Linked DNA regions of Callithrix jacchus. The protein of the gene in region 1 purifies or fractionates together with the protein of each later gene. This does not show direct contact. Links are inferred from orthologs where the notes say so. Each region holds a gene or a part of one and is shown in the gene's direction. Other genes may lie near its edges.

Region 1 (3,674 bases):
TCCCCTAATTTCACTTACCCCACTCGTTTTGTATCTCATGTTCTTACTTCATATCAGAGGATAAGACTCTTTCCCTATGATAAATAGTCATACATCTTTTATTTTTTTGAGACAGAGTCTCCTTCTGTACCCCAGGCTGGAGTGCAGTGGCATGATCATGGCTCACTGCAACCTCAACCTCCTGGGTTTGAGTGATTGTCTCACTTCAGCCTCTCAAGTAGCTCGGACGACCAGTGCATGCCACCACACCTGGCTAATTATTTTATTTTTGTAAGAGATGGGATCCCTCTGTGTTGTCCAGGCTGGTCTCGAACTCTTGGGCTCAAGTGATCCTCCTGTCTCAGCCTCTCAAAGTGCTGGGATTACAGGTGTGAGCTACTGCACCAGGCTGTAAATATTATTTTTAACAGTAGCATAATAGATTGTTAGAAGATATACTATGATTTGCCCCTTTTCTCTTCCTGGTATTTGACATTTAGGCTGTTTACCAAGTGTTTATTATAAATAACATCACAATTGATATTTCAATATATATGTAGCTTTTATTGTATTTAAGACTTAATTTTGTAATAAGTCTTTTTGTAATAGATTGCTAGAAGTTGTTTTCCCAATTCAGTGTACATTCTTATGGCTCAGGTTCTTTGTCAGAACATAGGAATGGATTTGATTGGTGTACTGAAAACAGGATAAAATGTAGTGATTTTAAAATCTTTAGTGGGAACCTGCCAGTGCAGTCGACTGTCATGTGAGCTTGCACATGCTATAAGACCTTTCCACATTGCCCAGAGGTTCATCTTTGAAAGCTTTCTCATGTGTGTATTGGTTTTTGTTTGTAGGATGTGGTCTCCCACAGTAAAAAACTTACCAAAAAAAATAAGGAACAATTGTCTGATATGATGATGATAAATAAACAGAAGGGAGGTCTCAAGGCTTTGAGCAAGGAGAAGAGAGAGAAGTTGGAAGCTTACCAGCACCTGTTTTATTTATTGCAAGTAAGTGGCTCCTGGAATCAGTGTTATAAAAATTTAGCAAATTTACTTTTCCACAAGAAAACCTTACCCATCAATCTCTCTGGAAATACTTTTGACTTCCACTGAGGGGTAAGTGACGGGCATTGTAATATTTTAATTTATTAATTTTTTTTCTCATGTATCTTCTAGTTCTTCAATTTTAAAGAATTAAATATATCTTGCCAGCTTTCATATTACCTATAAATGACTTATCCCTTGGTTTTATTTCAGACCAATCCCACCTATCTGGCCAAGCTAATTTTTCAGATGCCCCAGAACAAGTCTACCAAGTTCATGGACTCTGTGATCTTCACACTCTACAACTATGCATCCAACCAGCGAGAGGAGTACCTGCTTCTGCGGCTCTTTAAGACAGCGCTCCAGGAGGAAATCAAGTATGAACAGATTTCCTCAGGGCACAGACCCTTCCTACTATCACTGGGGACCCCAGTTTGAAATTCATGCCTTTCAGACCTTTGTTGTTCTCAATTAATTTATGAAAAATACTTACTCTAAAGAAGCATCTAATTTTTTAATAATACAAAATCTTGCTGCTTCTAGGGAGGGGATAAATTAATTTTAGGAACATTCTGTATTAAGGTATAATTTCAAAAAGTGATCTCAACAGAAAGATTTTGCATTTTTCTCTAGTAGGGGACCTAACTGACCATGATTCAGTGTACAGCCACAAGAACGTTCTGTGAGTGCTGGGCAATGATTCGAGAGAAACTCTGTTTCTATGAGATAGGATCTTTAAGCAGGAAGGATCTTTTCATTGACGGATTCTGTGACAAGTTTAAATTTTTATCTGATGTTTTATAGGTCAAAGGTAGATCAGATTCAAGAGATTGTGACAGGAAATCCTACAGTTATTAAAATGGTTGTAAGTTTCAACCGTGGTGCCCGTGGCCAGAATGCCCTGAGACAGATCTTGGCCCCAGTCGTGAAGGAAATTATGGATGACAAATCTCTCAACATCAAAACTGACCCTGTGGATATTTACAAATCTTGGGTTAATCAGATGGAGTCTCAGACAGGAGAGGCAAGGTATGATAACCATAACACTTTTCTTTATGTTGTTACTTTCTTTCCCTCTTTTTTCCACCCTCTTTATTTATAAACTAATACTAGTTCAAATAGTTTTTCTTTTTTTTAATTTTCTTTTGAGATGGAGTTTCACTCTTGTCACTCAGGCTGAAATGCTATGACAGGACCTCGGCTCACTGCAGCGCCACCTCCTGGGTTCAAGCAGTTCTCATGCTTTAGCCTCCCGAGTAGATGGGTTACAGGCATGTGACCACATCTGTCTAATTTTTGTATTTTTATTAGAAACAGGGTTTTGCCATGTTGACCAGGCTGGTCTCGAACTCCTGACCTCAAGTGATTCGTCTGACTCAGCCTCCCAAAGTGCTGGGATTACAGGCGTGAGCCACCGGGCCCAGCCTCAGATAGTTTTTCTTTAGAAAACTGTGCTTTATGAGTTGTTGACCTTGTAATAAATTCACGTATTTAACAAATGTTTGAGTACTTACTGTGTGCCAGGCATTGTGTTAGAGATGTATACAGTAATGCAATAATGAGTGAAACAGACATGCCCCCTGCCCTCTCTTCTTAGGTCATTGGGTGGAAGAGACACCAACCAGGTACATAAAAATAAAAGTATAATTAAACATTGAGGAAAGTTTCATGAAGTTTTATATAGGGTTCTGTAGTGGAGACTATAAGAGGGAGCTAACATAGGTTGGGTGATTAGGGAAAGCTTGTCCCAGAAGATAAAATTTCATTTAGCTGAGGCCTAAAGGCTAAGATGAAGCCAGACTTACTAAGAGCTAGGTGCAGAGTGTTCATGTCTGAACACTCTGAGGTGGGGGGGTTAGGACCTAAAAGGCATAACTAGGGATGCAATTGAATGAGAAGGCTCATACAGATTGGGTGAGATCACTGTGTTTTATTAAAGGAACAAGAAAATGGTGTGGGGTGAGCTGCCCTGAAATACTGAGAGTTGGGCTAACTGAATTAACATATTACAGGAGATAACTGAGTCAGGGCTGTAGCATAAACCACCACCATTAATTTATCAAAAGCAAAAGTATGCCAATCAAATATGGGTAATGCTGGGAAAAGGGAGTTCAGAATGCCAAAACATTTCTGGTTTTATTCATCTTGGGCAAGGACCTAGAGGGATGGGAAATGGAGATGTGAGCAACACGGTCTGTTGTGGATTTTTCTTGTTGCAGAGTAGGGTTGGATCATGCATGAAGCTCTCTGGGCATAGGAGGAGTAGCAGCTCTCCACACCATTGCTATTCAAAGTGTGGTTTACAGACCAGTAATGGAAAATCATCTGTGCACAATGTTTAGTTTAACTGATAGTTTTTTTAATAGCAAGATTTTCTCAATGAAAGAAGCAGTGTATTAATTCGCATTCTGACTCATTCTCTTTGTCTTTGATTGGATTGTAGACTGGCACTGGTCTACACTTTGAATAACACTATTCTACATAATTCTGCTTTCCATGTTCCTGGATGCCAGGCAATTTGCTGACTCACTGAAAGGGCTTATCTCGCCAGGAGTGGTGGCTCACACCTGTAATTCCAGCACTTTGGGAGGCTGAGATGGGAGGATTGCTTGAGCTCATCTTAGCCTTTGGGCCTTTGAGACCAGC
Region 2 (3,674 bases), on another chromosome or scaffold:
TGTAGGTTATTTTTCTTTTTGAATCATTTTGCTGCATAGTACATTGCAATTACATGTCAGTATAATGTTACTGATGTATATAATACATTTGAACTGTGAGGTATGGCACCTCCGTATGAGGGAGTGCTAACTTGTAAACCTGAATATTTTGAGTGATGATGATGATTATTAGCTGCCACAGATAGGAAAAAGAAATCTAGCATAGAATCTTAATTTCAGAGTTTAGCATTCAAGAAAGGCTTATTTTTGCTGATCTGACGAATGTAGAAATTTAGTTTTGGCTAACCAACATGGTGGTTCCCATCAAGTTATGCCTTTCAGTCTCTATGTCAAAGAGGATTCTTAGCTTTCAGATGCTTAACCCAATCATTTCTAATGATGGCTAGGCATTACTGACTCTTTTTTTTTCTTCTTCTTTTTTTTAATCTATCTTTTGGGTATAGAAGGAGTTGAGAGAGTATTTTTTTGGGCCAATTAATACAATACAAAAGTCATTTTTATTTGAGATTGGGATATGTTTTTGAACCTTTTCATTTTCTTACACATTTCTGTGTAGCAGAAGAGATAGTTAAATGTTGGTTCTTCAGAGATTTTTTTCAGCCTACAAAAAAAAAAAATAGAGGCAATTGAAAAATCTCATCTAAACTCCTTATATAGATTTGGGGCAGTTAAATTTTCTTTCAAAGAACACCTATGCAGATAATCTCCACAGGTAATTCAATATTATTTCCCTCTGAGCGCCATCATAAACATACATGAACTTGGTGTATGCGTGGGTGGGCATCTGGGTGTGTGGATGGGTGCGTATGTGAGCTTGGGCCCCTTTTATGTGTGAGTAAAAACTTTATAAAGGCTTGTTATACTTTAATAAAGATGCTTTTTTATATCTTATGTTTTTCCCTGAAATAGTTGGCTTATAACACTAAAATAAGCTTGTAAAATTTCTATTAATTTCCTTTTAATAGACAATTTTTTTTTGCTTTTGGAAGTTAATTACCTTTTTATAAAAGAATAACTATTATTTTTTAACTACAAGTAAATATATAGATTGAATATCATTATGCTCATTAGTTCTGTACATGTTATTAGCTTTAGCAGACAATTTCTAATAAAAGGACTCAGTATGATCTTTAAATTTTCTTTAGAATTTTCTGTGCTTATTCAAATTTATTGAACTTAATTATTTAATACAAGAGAACCAAGGAACCACTGAACTTTGAGAACACAACCGAAATGCTAACTTTAGTGTTTTATTTGAGCTAGTGACCTAAAATTTCTGTAGTAATATGTGAATATTTTAAGAGGTTAGCCCAAATTAATGGTAAGAAATTAACGGTAAGCTGGTATGTTTTTCTAGTAGAAAGAACATTTAACCACACATAATTATCTTTAGCAATTTAAAAACTTTTACTTAGATTCTGTTTACTTGCTGAAGTGGCAGTATTTTACCATGTATATCAGTCTTAAAATTCTTAAACAGTTCTTCCATTTAAGAAGTAACCAAGCCAGGTGCGGTAACTCACATCTGAAATCTCAGTTACTCAAGAGGCTGAGATGGGAGGATGATTTAAGCCCAGGAGTTCAAGACTAGCAAGGGCAACATAGCAAGACCTCATCTCTCAAAATTGAATAATTTTTAAAATGAAAAATAACCCAGTAGATTTAAACATAACCCTTGCATTGCTTTTAAATGTCATAGACTGAATAGTTCAGAAATAAGGGAAATAAAAGGAAGAACTTTAAACATTTCCCAGAAACCTTGTATACAGTACATATTTCTTGTCCTTAACATATTTTTTATCATGAGAGTTAAATAATATAGACTTTCAGATAGCTAGTCATAGTCAAATAATTGAATCCAAACATTTGCATATATTTTAGTTGGCGGACCTTGATTGACTATAGAAATTCACAAAAGGACAGCACTGATTAAAAACTGATCCCATATTGTGGAGCTACTGTCTGACACGCTCCTATCTGCTTTCTGCTGGGTCTCACAAACTCCTGTCCCTTTCCAGGCTGGATTGATGTCACCTGGGATGCTGGTGGCTCAAACTCTTACCGTATGGGCGCAGAAGGAAAATTTGACCTCAAGCTTGCACCAGGGTACGACCCTGATACAGTGGCATCACCCAAACCTGTTTCATCCACTGTTTCAGGCACAACGCAATCATGGAGCAGCTTGGTGAAAAACAACTGTCCAGACAAGACATCTGCTGCTGCAGGCTCCTCAAGTAGAAAAGGAAGCAGCAGTTCTGTGTGTAGCGTGGCCAGTAGCAGCGACATCAGCTTGGGTTCGACCAAAACGGAACGGAGATCAGAAATTGTAATGGAACACAGTATAGTTTCAGGAGCTGATGTCCATGAACCAATTGTTGTTCTTTCATCTGCTGAAAACGTCCCTCAAACAGAAGTAGGGTCATCTTCCAGTGCAAGCACCAGCACCTTAACAGCGGAAACGGGAAGTGAAAATGCTGAAAGGAAGTTAGGCCCTGATAGTTCTGTTCGTACTCCTGGGGAGTCTAGTGCAATATCCATGGGAATTGTCAGTGTTAGTTCTCCTGATGTTAGTTCAGTATCTGAATTAACTAATAAAGAAGCAGCTTCACAACGACCTCTTAGCTCTTCAGCAAGTAACAGACTGTCAGTGAGTTCTTTGTTGGCTGCTGGGGCCCCTATGAGCTCTAGTGCAAGTGTACCTAACCTGTCCTCAAGAGAAACATCTAGCTTGGAGAGTTTTGTAAGGAGAGTGGCAAACATAGCACGGACTAATGCCACGAACAACATGAATCTAAGCCGAAGCAGCAGTGATAACAACACTAATACTTTGGGGAGGAATGTGATGAGCACAGCAAGTAAGTGAGCTTTTCCTTCTGGAACCCAATGCTTTTTCCACTTGGAGGGATGCAAAGTAGGGTCTCTTGTTCTGGCTGCAGTTTTTAACTAGATCATTAACCATATTAGATAAAGCTACATCAAATTTAGCACTTCAGGAATATGAAGTTAAGTTCTCTAGAATCATAATATTTTTAAGAATTCAGATTAGGTATGATAAAGAGCCTCTTATTCTAGAAGGATAAAACAATACTTCTGATTTTCACTCTTTTATGATAAATCAAGCAAAGTTAATGAGGAAATAGATGACTATTAAATATTATCATAGTGCAGTGAAACTAAAGAATCATGAGTATAGCTTTTATTTAGACTCTACATTGATCATAGCTTCTTAAATTCAAATTCCGATCTAAGCTGCTAACAGGTCAAAGTAATTCCCTTGGAAAAGACATAGGGAATTATTTCATTGCTTGTTTCATTTCTTTAAAAATGTTAGGCATAATATTTAAAAATATAATAGTGCTATAAAAATAATTTTTAGTTGGATTTCAGTTGGGTTCCCAAAGTTGTTGCTTTTCAGGAACCATTTTATTATTAGTGTGTTTTATGATCTCACTCTTTAAAAAATATAAAACTTCGTTTTTCTAAGGTTTCTAAAATCTCACCTATTTTTACTGATTTGCTTCATTTTTATCTTTAGCTTCTCCTCTTATGGGTGCTCAGAGTTTCCCTAATTTGACCACACCTGGTACTACATCAACAGTGACTATGTCAACATCCAGTGTTACTAGTAGCAGCAATGTAGCTACAGCAACCACAGTTTTATCAGTTGGTCAATC
Region 3 (4,305 bases), on another chromosome or scaffold:
GCGGGTCATGGACGAGGACATCATGGTAGAATCAGGTGAGAGGTTTGGGCTGGGGCGATGGGTTTGAGGGTGTTGTGAATCCAAAAACAGCTCTGGCAGAATACCAAACCTTTTTTTCCCCAGGTGATGACTCATGGGATCTAATCACATGTTACTGCCGAAAGCCCTTTGCAGGGCGGCCCATGATTGAGTGCAGCCTGTGTGGGACGTGGATCCACCTCTCCTGTGCTAAGATTAAGAAGACCAATGTCCCTGACTTCTTTTATTGCCAGAAATGCAAGGAACTGAGGCCAGAGGCCCGGCGGTTAGGGGGGCCTCCCAAATCTGGAGAGCCCTGACGGCGCCAACTCTAAGCTGGAACTTCCAAATGACAACTCGATTTGGGAACTGAGCCTCAGGGACCTCAGCCTATCCCCTGGAGCTTGGATACTGTCCGAACTTCAAGGCAGGAATTCCCAAAGGAGACTTGTTTGAAAATGAATGTCTCACTTTCCTACCCTCTCCTTCCTCCCCACTCTGTGGATTTGAAATTGGACCCAGTTGGGGGTGGGAGGCTGTCTGTGTCTCTAGACACTATCTCTTGTCTCTTGGACCTGCCACCATCATTTTCTGGGTCGGGATGGAATGGGACAGTTGTCTATAAAACTCTAGTGTAAATATTAGCACTTCCCTCCCTCATCTTTTCTTTATTTCACTCCCCATTTATTTTCTTCTACACCGGTTGTATTTTTAATTTTGGACTTCCCCTCTTGGGCATGGCAGCTCAAAGGTGGAGTACTAGAGCCTGGCCAAGTGACGAAGGAAAGCAGAAAGGTGACGATTCTCATTCACCTCTTTTGTTTTTAATAATATTGGCCGCTGTTTGTACAGACAGCCTGCGTGTTGTAAATAAAGCAGAGTGGGCTCTTCTGTGTTTATAGCCCTCACTGACTGTCCTGCTTGGGAGGGAGGCTTTGGAAGAGCTGGCTGAAGACTAGCCGGAGGTGGGGCTGAAAACCACCTCTCAAAGTCCAATCTGAACATGGCACGGCACTGGGCCTTTCCCACCCCAAGATACTCGAGTAAGCCACCTTAGAGCTTTCATTGTATTTGTCCCTCCCTACTATAGTCTAGGAACCCCCACAATCCCCATCTTCACTCCCTGCAACGCACACTCCGGCGGGTCAGAGTTGCTTCGCGTTCCCGCCTGGGTCGGGTAAAGCACGGTGGAAGCCGATTATCTGCTTCCTGAGGGCAGAGGCCAGCTTAGCCACGGTACACGCAGGACCTCGCCCAGGGTACCCATTTGGGGGCTGGGAGACCGTTGCTGAAGGCAGCGATCACGTGGCGGGGACGCTAGGAGGAGTCCGGCGGTCACGTGACTGATGGGGGGGTCACGTGAGGGGGCGGCTGAGCAACGCAGAGTGGGCTGGCTTGGGTCACGTGACATGAGGAGAGGTGGGCGGGAACCTGGAGGTGCTCGCAACGTCGGCGGCGATGGCGCCGGGCTACCGCTGAGACCGTGGCTTTGAGTCGCACCCAGCGGCCCGCCCCCCGCCGCCACCCTCGCCGACCCCCGCTTTCTTTCCTTTGCTTTTCTCCTGTACTAGGTCGGTCCTGTCCGCGCTCGTGCGTCCGTTTGTGTGTGTGCGCAGGCGCGGCAGGGGCCATTTGCCCGGTTGGGTGGGCGGCAGAGCCCGGGAGCGCGCGGGCGAGACCATGGCGGGCAGCAGCACTGGGGGCGGTGGGGTTGGGGAGACGAAGGTGATTTACCACCTGGATGAAGAAGAGACTCCCTACCTGGTGAAGATCCCTGTCCCTGCCGAGCGCATCACCCTCGGCGATTTCAAGAGCGTTCTGCAGCGGCCCGCGGGCGCCAAGTACTTTTTCAAGTCTATGGATCAGGATTTTGGGTGAGCGCAAGGCCTGCATAGGACCGACGGGGGCTTTGCTAGAGTGGATTGGGCGACGTGGAGAGGTACACATCTACTTTGGGCCACACTGGGAATTTCTGGCCTATGGTGGAGCAGATTGTACTATGCTGAGGTGGGTTGACTATGCCAGGATGGACAAGGTTATGCTTGGATAGATCGAGGCACACGGACAGACTAGGATATCCTAAACCAGATTAGAGAAGATTACGTTCTACTGGAATAGGTGGGGACATACTGGTTTATTTTGGAGTATTCTAGACTGTACTGAGTAAATTGATCCATTGTCTGGTCGTTTAATACGTTCTCAGGAGTCCTGCATGTTGTCCACAGGTTATTTAGTGCTATTGTGGAATCTTTTGATGTAGATAAGGCCATTTTGGATCAACTTGGGACATTCTGGCGTATACTTAGAGCAGACGGGATTTTTGGTGGGATATTCTAGTCAATACTGATGCAAAGAGTGCTCTATTGGGATGTTCTAGGTTGCCCTGGAATAGAATATTGCGGAGAAACTTATCCATGGTTGGGCGCGGTGGCTCACGCCTGTAATCCCAGCACTTTGGGAGGCCAGGGCGGGCGGAACGCGAGGTCAAGAGATCGAGAGCATCCTGGCTAACACGGTGAAACTCCCTCTCTGCTAAAAATACAAAAAATTAGTCCGATGTGGTGGCACACGCCTGTAGTCCAAGCAACTCGGGAGGCCGAGACAGGAGAATCACTTGAACCCAGGAGGCAGAGGTTGCAGTGAGCCAAGATCGTGCCACTACACTCCAGCCTGGGCGACAGAGGGAGACTCTGTCTCAAAAAAAAGAAAGAAAGAAAAAAAAAGAAGCTTGGGTTATTATGGACTCTACTGAGTTGTATTGATTAATCCTGGTTTCTCTTGGGGCAAGACGTGGTTTTATCGGAGCACTCTGTATAAGGGCAGACAAGGCTGTCGGGGCCCATGCTAGTACAGGCAGCTGTATTGGGGTATTCTAGTCTATATTGGTGCAGACAGCTGCTTGTGGGGACATTGTAGGCTGTGCTAGAATAGATTGGGCTCCTAACGTAATTTGGGACATTCAGGGATATCTTGGACTAGATGGGCTTGTAAATAATGCAGAGAAAGCCCTTTTGTGTTTATAATCTTAGGGACTGAGCCCCCTGGTCCTCACCCTCTGCTTTTTTGAAGGCAGGCTGGATTAAGTTGGGTTAGTGTGGGTTTTAAAAGGTTCTTCTGGTTGTCCGCAATATACCCTTGGACAATTTATTTAAATTTTGTCTTGATCTCATCTGTGACATGGAGAAAAAACACAGAATGAAATGCTTAGATCAGGTGTGTGGCAAACGGTAAATTCTTGGTGAATGGTAATCGTCATTATTAGTACTGAGGCTGACTATAAAGTAGGTTATGGTGATACGGAATAACTTGTCTTAGAGTGGACTGAGCTATGCTGAGATTATGTTATATTGGGAAGAATCCTGCATTATGCTGAAACAGATTGGTAGTGACTGGGCTGTGTTGGCACATTGACAGCAAGTGGATTAAGTTGGCATATATCCTGGCTCCCATAACCATATTAGGCCAAAGGGTTAATCAGACAAGGTGTCTTAATTTGGGGGCAAGGGTGTGTGTGGAAAGAGAGGAACAACTAGGGCAGAGTCTGATGATTTATATGTTGATTCATTTAGCCAACGGTATTTGTTAATGCTGAAGTGACACTTTGTGCTGTGTGGCTAGGACATGGTGTTGACCAGAATGAGTGTTCATGATGTGATGTTGTGGTCAAGAAGAAGCATTAAGTCTAGTCCACTGGGTGAACCTATTGGAGAGATGACCGCAAGGCTGGGCCTTGGGATCTGTCAGGCTGAGCAGATTGCTTCGTGCAGAATTTTGTGACAGATGAGGCACTGGGGAATGGGAAGCTTAGCTTGCCCTCTCCTTGGGAACTTTCAATCTAATCAGGAGCTTCCATTGCTTGATCTAATGGGTTTTTTTGTGATGGAGTTTCGCTCCGTCTCGCAGGCTTGAGTGCAGTAGAGTGATCTCAGCTCACTGCAACCCCTGCCTCCCAGCTTCCAGCAATTCTTCTGCCTCAGCCTCTCAAGTATCTGTGATTACAGGTGTGCGTCAGCATACCCAGCTAATTTTTGTATTTATATATATATATTTTTTTGAGATGGAGTTTTGCTGTTGTTACCCAGACTGGAGTGCAATGGCACGATCTCGGCTCACCGCAACCTCCGCCCTCTGGGTTGAAGCAATTCTCCTGCCTCAGCCTCCCGAGTAGCTGGGACTGCAGGCACGTACCACCATGCCCAGTTAATTTTTGTATTTTTAGTAGAGATGGGATTTCAGCTTGTTGACCAGGATGGTCTCAATCTCTTGACCTCGTGATTCACCTGCCTC
Region 4 (4,327 bases), on another chromosome or scaffold:
GAAAGAAAAAAAAAGATCACTTTCAGCAGAGGGCTGGACAATATCTGAATGTTCCTAAGTACTGTCTTGGATGGGCACTAAAGGAACGGTGAAAGTCCTTTGACTATTTTCGGTGTTCTGAAACTCAGTCTCATTGCACTTCAGAAGAAGCAATGTAAGGAGGTCTTGTCTAGAGAAAGGTGTCCTCCCAGCCTTGGATAAGGCTCCAAAGCCTCGTTTGGAGGGGCTTCTTCAGACACAGCCGCTCATATTCTGAATTTATATTCCTTTGGCAAGAGAGATTGAGCAATATTTAAACTGAGAGATATCTGAGAGAGAGATAATTATTTTTAAATAGCAGGGAAGCAGTTCGAGTGAGCAGGAGAGAGGAGCCCTGTGCACTTGCAGTTCTTCACTCATTCTCCGTTTCCTGGACCTCTCACAACGCGAGCATAATTTTCGCTGAGTGTGATTCCAGAAGTTCAATATTCTCTACTGGCCACCCTGTTCTCCCTCCAACCTCCCATATAACATGGCTGCTACAAACCACGTAGTTTATCTAGATGTGGATAAAAGAAATAGCAATCTGGCACTTCTTTTATCTCACTATAAATTTTATTTTTTCTTTGAGACAGAGTCTCGCTCTGTCACCCAGGCCAGAGTGCAGCGGCGCGATCTTGGCTCACCGAAACCTCCGACTCCCTGCTTCGAGCGATTCTCCTGCCTCAGCCTCTCCAGTAGCTGACATATCTGGCGCCCGCCACCACGTCCGGCTAATTTTTGTATTTTTAGTAGAGACGGGGTTTCACCATGTTGGCCATGATGGTCTCAATTTCCAGACCTCGTGATCCACCCGCCTCGGCCTCCCAAAGTGCTGGGATTACAAGCGTGAGTCACCGCGCCCGGCCAAATTTTCTAAATTTATTTATTGTGTGTTTTACTCACACAAGAATGTAAGCTCCACGAGGGCAGGGATTTTTGTCTGTTCACCACTACATCCCTAGCTCTTGGCGGAATGCCTTGCATACAGCAAGCATTTAATGAACATTTACAGATGAAGGAAGAAACATTGCGGGAAGGAGAGAAACGAGGGCCAGAGGCAGGAGAAGAGGAAGAACCGAGAGAAGGAAGGAAGAAGGAAGTGGAGGAAAAGAAGGCAGGCTGGTTCTCCCAGCCCCGCTACTAGTCCAGCAGGCAGCGCGAAACTCCCACCGGAACTACAATTCCCGGCAGGCCCCGGGGCCCCAGGGCTGGCCGCAGCGGCTCAAACCGGACATGGCTTCACTCCCGCTGGGCTACCGGCGTGCCTTGCGAGCGCAGGTTGTGCCGCAGCGCCCGCCGGAACTTGTGGTCCTGGCCGCGGGTGGGGGTGGCGGCGGGCGGGGGCCGGGGGCGGGCGCCGGCCCCTCCCCCGTCACTTCCTGCCGGGCTGCGGGCGCCGGAGCGGCTCTTCAGCGTTTGCGCTGGCGGCTGCCGTGTCTTACTCGGCTCCCCCTTCCTTTGACCCCCCCCCCAGCCCGGCGGCGCCCGCCTTCTCCGTGGCCACTCCGCCTCTTCCCTCCCTTCGTCCCGTCCTCCTCTCCTTTTTTCCTTCCCTTCCCCTCCTCGCCGCCGCCGCCCAGGACCGCCGGCCGGGGGACGAGCTCGGGGCAGCAGCCAGGTGAGGCGGCCCGGCCCGGCCGGGCCTGGCGGGGCCCGCGCTGGCGCCGCGGCGGTGGGGAGTGGGCGGCGGGTGGGGCCTAGGCCTTGGCGGGCCTGCGCGCCCCGCCGCCTTCCCCCGGGCCTCTCTCCAGCCCGCGGGGCCTTCCCGGAGGAGGCGGGTCCTCCTGCGCCCCCCGCCTCGGGGCGCCCTGAGGCCTGGCCCCCGGGCGCCCCCATCCGCTTCAGCCCTCGCCGGGGTCACAAACAGGTGCCGTGGCCGCCTTTCCTCGTCCCGCATGGCGCGCGCGGGGATGCCGAAGTTATTCCCGGGGCTGAAGCTGGGGGTGGGGGGTCCCCGTTTTAGGTCCCCGAGAACTGGAGCCTCTCAGTCTCGCCGGCCCAGGTCTGCAGCTTAGTGGTTAAGAGCACCGCCCAGGTGTCCAAAACGGGTGCTAATCCCGGCTCTGCCCCATTAGGCAAGACACTTAAACTCTTTGTGTCCTGGTTGGAAAAGGGGCTGCTGATACAGTCCCTGCCTCTTATGGCTGTTAGGGTTCAGTGAAATGGGGCGTGTAAAGCGCTTATCAGAGTGCCAGACCCACAGCGTGTCCCAATAAACCGTCTGCATAATTTATTAGCGTGATATGAAGGATAATTTAATGGGTAGAGTGGATAGAAGTTGACCTACCTATCCGTTTGGGTTTCTTAGAGGCTCAGTGTTGCGCGTGCCCGTGTCCAGAGCCAGGGCATTGTTTTGAGTTGTTAACATCTGAAAGAGGCATACGCTTAATTGGAACACTGTAGTTGGCAGTCTGTAAACGATAGATGCTATTTCTTTCCATCTCCTCCGCTTAGCCAACTGCAGGATATTCACCAGCTCCCGCAGGATGAGCAACCTGTCCATTTCCCCCCGCCCGGCCATCATCCAGCTTCTTGTCATTCCATTTCTGGGAAAGTTGCTGGCAGAAGCTTCCCTTGTGTTAAGCAGACCTATCTGGAGCACTTGCAGTGTGTCAGGCTTTGAAGGGGGGGTGTACGAAAATGGAAAAATTTGTCTGTCTTTTCTTGCTCTACATCTCTTAAGTTTTTTCACCGAAGCTTTGCTTTTATTCCCCCCCTCCCTGATGGCTGACTTTCCTTTTAAGCCCTGGCCCCGCCTCCTTGTTGCAGTATTGCTTGTGTGGGAAGTTTTCTTGGGTTCCGCGAAGATACGTACTTCGGTCTGTCCTGCCACTGTTCTTTGGCCGTGTGGACCTTTTTAAGGGGTCACACTTCTCTTCTGCTTGTAGCTTTCATTGTTCAGAACGTGGTGGAAACAGTTAAATCAGGTTCCTGGTTGATTTTGGCCTTTCAGGAATCCGTGCTTACCAAATGTAAATTACGTTGCTACTTGTTGAGGTAAAAACTAAAAATATAGTTGGAGTGTAGAGGGAGCAGTTTCGGTTATCCTGGTGACAGGTGGGATTTTTAGAACAGCAACTTTATTAAAGGATACTGGGTTTTAAAAACTTTTGTACTTAGTTTTATAGGTGTACTCAAAGGAAATGCAACTTATGAATGTTAAATTTTATACGAGTAAGGAGTGTGTGTTTACCTGAGTGATCCTCCTGTATCGTTGTAGGCATTGAATTTCCTTAGTGAACTGAAAATATTTTGATTTATAACCATCTTTTAATAACACACATGTGGCAAAGTGCCCTCCTTGTTTTTGACAAATTTTCCTAGAATTTTCTTACAGCCTTTTTTTTTTTTGGAGATGGAGTCTCACTCTTGTCTCCCAGGCTGGAGTGCAGTCGGCTCACTGCAACTTCTGCCTCCCAAGTTCAAACGATTCTCCTGCCTCAGCCTCCTGAGTAGCTGGGATTACAGGTGCCTGCCATCGCTCCTGGCCTGAATTGCTCTTTTAAAACATGTGGGTCAGGCGCGGTTGCTTTCCTGTAATCCCAGCACTTTGGGAGGCCGAGGCGGGTGGATCACGAGGTCAAGAGATTGAGACCATCCTGGTCAACATGGTGAAACCCCGTCTCTACTAAAAATACAAAAAAAAAAATTAGCTGGGCACGGTGGCGTGTGCCTGTAATCCCAGCTACTCAGGAGGCTGAGGCAGGAGAATTGCCTGAACCCAGGAAGCGGAGGTTGCGGTGAGCCGAGATCGCGCCGTTGCACTCCAGCCTGGGTAACAAGAGTGAAACTCCGTCTCAAAAAAAAAAAAAAAAGTAAGCAGGCAGGGCACAGTGGCTCACGCCTGTAATCCCAGCACTTTGGGAGGTGGAGGCGGGTGGATCACGAGGTCAGGAGATCGAGACCATCCTAGCCAACATGGTGAAACTTCATCTCTACTAAAAATACAAAAAGTAGCCGGGTGTGGTGGCGGGTGCCTGTAATCCCAGCTACTCGGCAGGCTGAGGCAGGAGAATCGCTTGAACCTGGGAGGTGGAGGTTGCAGTGAGCAGAGATAGCGCCATTGCTCTCCAGCCTGGGCTGTCGCAAACTCCGTCTCAAAACAAAACACCACCACGTAACCAAACAACTAGTACACAAGCCGTATAAAGCATGTCTTCTATTGCTGTATCACAATGGCATATTGCAATAGGGAAATGGTATTTCGAATACCATTTTTTAAAAGTTTTTTTATTCTGGAAAATATGCAAAAATTGAATAGTATGTAGAACCCCATGTATTAGTCACTCAGCTCTAACAATTATTA
Region 5 (3,525 bases), on another chromosome or scaffold:
AGACAAAGGTGGAGAAATCTGAAGCCAAAGCTGCAGAGCTGGAAAAGAAGGTGCATATGAGACCAAAAACATGTGTTTGAGTATATCTTGCTTTGAGGATTATTATTTTCCTGACCTGTGAGACACTTTTTTTCTGTGGTATTTTGGAAGCATTTAGCATCGGATGTGTAATTCCCAGGGGAAACCATTCCAGTATAGGTTAGTCATTGGAGAAAGTGATATGGATGTCATTATCAGGAGCTTTCCTGGTGGGTTTACAGTTCTTGGGCTATTAGGCAGGAAAAGAAAGACAGATGATACTCATATAATAGTGATGGGACTCTCAGATTTGCTTGGCATTTTAGGCCTCTTATCCCTAGAACATTAGGAACTGGGGTCCTTTGAACAGTAGAAGTGGAAAATGTCTTTGAGTTTTCTTTTTCTCTTCAATTGTTAAGGACTCTTACTGTGGTTAATAGGTTTTTTTATCCTAGAGAATATTGGGATTGTACTACCATGGCTGACCTAGTTAAATACCTTTAAAATCTTTGTTTTGTTTCTTTTTACTGTAAAAATAGGGAATCTATGGAAATGAACTGATTCCCTTCTCCTTTAATCTTGATTTTAAGGTTAGAATCATGGTGCTTTTTTTCCCCAAGCATAGCCTGAATTTGTGAGCTCTACAGATCAATTCTTGGCCCAAAACAGGAGATGGGGGTTGGGGGCAGATTCCAGCACCCCCAGGCAAAAGAGGAGGTGAGGGGAATTATGAGTAATAGTACTCGTTCTTCTTACTGAGATGGAGAGCTTACTGGGAGCCTGATTTGTTTTTTTTCTCTAGCTGGACTCAGAGTTAACAGCCCGACATGAGCTACAGGTGGAAATGAAAAAGATGGAAAGTGACTTTGAGCAGAAGCTTCAAAATCTTCAGGGAGAAAAGGATGCACTGGATTCTGAAAAGCAACAGATTGCCACAGAGAAACAGGATCTAGAAGCAGAGGTGTCCCAGCTCACAGGAGAGGTAATGCCTGAGCAGGGAAGGCAGAGTGACCTGTAACCTCAAGATGCACATGGCTTAGAATAGGAGTCAATCATCTCACTCCTAGGGAGGGATCAGCTACTAATAGGCAATCTAGTTACATGGTGCATATTTTAAAAATAATATACTGGTTTTTGGTTTGTGTTGGGGGTAATACATAAGACAGAAAATCTGGAAAATACAGATAAACATTAAAAATTAAGGTGATAAATCTTCTAATAAATTAGGAATAAAAACTAAACTGTTACAAATTAGCTGATTTTCTGTTAGTTTAGTCATCTCTGCACAGATTTATCCTTACACACTCCCTGTGCAGTAGTAAATACTTGAATGATCTTTGATATCTGTTAACTTGATTACTTAGGTGGTCATATAATCATCTGTGTAGCACATATATTAGTTATATAACTAAAGCATTCGATTTATTTGACTTTACATTTTCTAATCAAGGGAGAGTTTAACATAAATGTTAAAATTGTCTTTTTAATACAAAGCATTCTGAACTAAGAATATGAAGACCTGAATTCTAGTTTTGTCTCTGCTGCTAAGCAGTGTGACTTTAGGTGATCATGTGATCTCTCTGACTCCTCAGTTTCTCCATTTGTAAAATGAGAAGTTTGGATTAAGTCATTTGTTAGATTCCTTCTAGCCCCAGTAGTCCCTGAAGTGGGGTGAGAAGTACTCACATTGATGTTATACTTGTAGGTTGCCAAGCTGACAAAGGAACTGGAAGATGCCAAGAAAGAAATGGCTTCCCTCTCTGTGGCAGCTGTTGCTATAGCTCCTTCTGTTCCTAGTAGTGCTACTGTTCCCCCTGCCCCTCCTTTACCTGGTGACTCTGGCACTATTATTCCACCACCACCTGCTCCTGGGGGTAGTACCATAGTTCCTCCTCCTCCTCCACCACCACCTCCTTTGCCTGGGGGTGTTTGCATCCCCTCACCCCCTTCTTTACCTGTAGTTACTGCTATCTCTCCACCCTCTTCTTTTCCTGGGGGTGCTAGCATCCCTCCACCCCCTCCTTTGCCTGGGGGTGCTAGCATCCCTCCACCTCCTCCTTTGCCTGGGGGTGCTAGCATCCCTCCACCTCCTCCTTTGCCTGGGGGTGCTAGCATCCCTCCACCTCCTCCTTTGCCTGGGGATGCTAGCATCCCTCCACCTCCTCCTTTGCTTGGTGGTGCTGGAATCCCCCCACCACCCCCTCCTTTGCCTGGGGGTGCTAGCATCCCTCCACCCCCTCCTTTGCCTGGGGGTGCTAGCATCCCTCCACCTCCTCCTTTGCTTGGTGGTGCTGGAATCCCCCCACCGCCGCCTCCTTTGCCTGGTGGTGCTGGAATCCCCCCACCACCTCCTCCCTTGCCTGGGGGAGTAGGAATACCACCTCCTCCTCCCCCTCTTCCTGGTGGTCCTGGAATCCCTCCACCTCCTCCTTTTCCTGGAGGCCCTGGTATTCCTCCACCTCCACCTGGCATGGGTATGCCTCCACCTCCCCCATTTGGATTTGGAGTTCCTGCAGCCCCAGTTCTGCCATTTGGATTAACCCCCAAAAAGCTTTATAAGCCAGAGGTGCAGCTCCGGAGGCCAAACTGGTCCAAGGTAAGAATCTCTATTTCTTCACCAGTAGATCTTTTTTTTTTTTTTTTAATTTTTGAGACGAAGTCTCATTCTTGTTGCCTAGATTGGAGTACAGTGGCATGATCTCGGCTCACTGCAGCCTCTGCCTCCCAGGTTCAAGTGATTCTCCTGCCTTAGCCTCCTGAGTAGCTGGTACTACAGGCGCTTGCTACCACACCCAGATAACTTATTTATTTTATTTTTAGTAGAGATGGGGCTTAACCATGTTAGCCAGGATGGTCTCAATCTCCTGACCTTGTGAGCCACCCACCTCAGCCTCCTAAAGTACTGGGATTAAAGGCATGAGCTGCTGTGTCTGGCCTCACCAGTTGATCTTAAGAAACCATTTTACTACCAATTTTCTACTTTGTATTTTGTGCATGGATGGGCTGCACCTCCCTTATGGCTTACATCTTTCTGTCTTCAAGTTTCACTCATGCTTATGTTTATTCAGCAGATATTAGGCATCTTCTATATGCCATACATCACCATGGAGAGTTCTGTGAACCCTGTACTCTGAATTTAATCTTAACTAAACTTATACTTCATGTTTTCTGCCTTTTCTCTGAGGCTGTCAATACCATGGTAACACACAGTTTGATAATAGTCATTCACCAGTCTGCAAGCTACTGATAATTGTGCTGATCCAAAAGTCATGGATTTATGAATCCACTCTACACCAGTTTCATAGTATATAAATTACTCAGCCCATATTTGCATGCACAGTATTGTTCCCATGATGTGTTTGAGATGCCTGTGATTCTGAGTTAGTTAGCCTTTTGCTTCTAGAAGGTAAGTTAATATAAAGGAGCTTAGGGATTTATTTGCTCATAAAATGAGCAAATTTGGCACAGTTAGCCAAACTGGTGGGGAAAATATGATGGAGAGCAAGA

The links.
Region 2: the proteins of IQGAP1 (region 1) and HECTD1 purify together in Homo sapiens (affinity purification with mass spectrometry; 3 studies listed by BioGRID, with this or other methods). This does not show direct contact. The link is inferred for Callithrix jacchus from reciprocal best matches to the Homo sapiens genes IQGAP1 and HECTD1.
Region 3: the proteins of IQGAP1 (region 1) and DVL2 purify together in Homo sapiens (affinity purification with western blotting; 3 studies listed by BioGRID, with this or other methods). This does not show direct contact. The link is inferred for Callithrix jacchus from reciprocal best matches to the Homo sapiens genes IQGAP1 and DVL2.
Region 4: the proteins of IQGAP1 (region 1) and STAU1 purify together in Homo sapiens (affinity purification with mass spectrometry; 4 studies listed by BioGRID and IntAct, with this or other methods). This does not show direct contact. The link is inferred for Callithrix jacchus from reciprocal best matches to the Homo sapiens genes IQGAP1 and STAU1.
Region 5: the proteins of IQGAP1 (region 1) and protein diaphanous homolog 1 purify together in Homo sapiens (affinity purification with western blotting; 3 studies listed by BioGRID and IntAct, with this or other methods). This does not show direct contact. The link is inferred for Callithrix jacchus from reciprocal best matches to the Homo sapiens genes IQGAP1 and DIAPH1.

The regions. Positions count from the first base shown.
Region 1 is NC_133507.1:19,924,041-19,927,714, reverse strand, and holds part of IQGAP1 (ras GTPase-activating-like protein IQGAP1), read left to right. Parts: intron 1-836; coding exon 837-992; intron 993-1,241; coding exon 1,242-1,405; intron 1,406-1,832; coding exon 1,833-2,057; intron 2,058-3,674. UniProt on the Homo sapiens protein: Plays a crucial role in regulating the dynamics and assembly of the actin cytoskeleton.
Region 2 is NC_133509.1:65,522,350-65,526,023, reverse strand, and holds part of HECTD1 (E3 ubiquitin-protein ligase HECTD1), read left to right. Parts: intron 1-2,018; coding exon 2,019-2,855; intron 2,856-3,535; coding exon 3,536-3,674. UniProt on the Homo sapiens protein: E3 ubiquitin-protein ligase which accepts ubiquitin from an E2 ubiquitin-conjugating enzyme in the form of a thioester and then directly transfers the ubiquitin to targeted substrates.
Region 3 is NC_133506.1:73,724,594-73,728,898, reverse strand, and holds the start of DVL2 (segment polarity protein dishevelled homolog DVL-2), read left to right. Parts: upstream 1-1,434; 5' UTR 1,435-1,698; coding exon 1,699-1,892; intron 1,893-1,924; exon of another isoform or gene 1,925-2,017; coding exon of another isoform or gene 2,018-2,025; intron 2,026-4,305. Other genes in the region: PHF23 (PHD finger protein 23), read left to right, coding at 1-35, 124-338.
Region 4 is NC_133506.1:44,266,213-44,270,539, reverse strand, and holds the start of STAU1 (double-stranded RNA-binding protein Staufen homolog 1), read left to right. Parts: upstream 1-1,395; 5' UTR 1,396-1,639; intron 1,640-4,327. UniProt on the Homo sapiens protein: Binds double-stranded RNA (regardless of the sequence) and tubulin.
Region 5 is NC_133503.1:40,004,350-40,007,874, reverse strand, and holds part of protein diaphanous homolog 1, read left to right. Parts: coding exon 1-50; intron 51-820; coding exon 821-1,000; intron 1,001-1,723; coding exon 1,724-2,614; intron 2,615-3,525. UniProt on the Homo sapiens protein: Actin nucleation and elongation factor required for the assembly of F-actin structures, such as actin cables and stress fibers. Binds to the barbed end of the actin filament and slows down actin polymerization and depolymerization.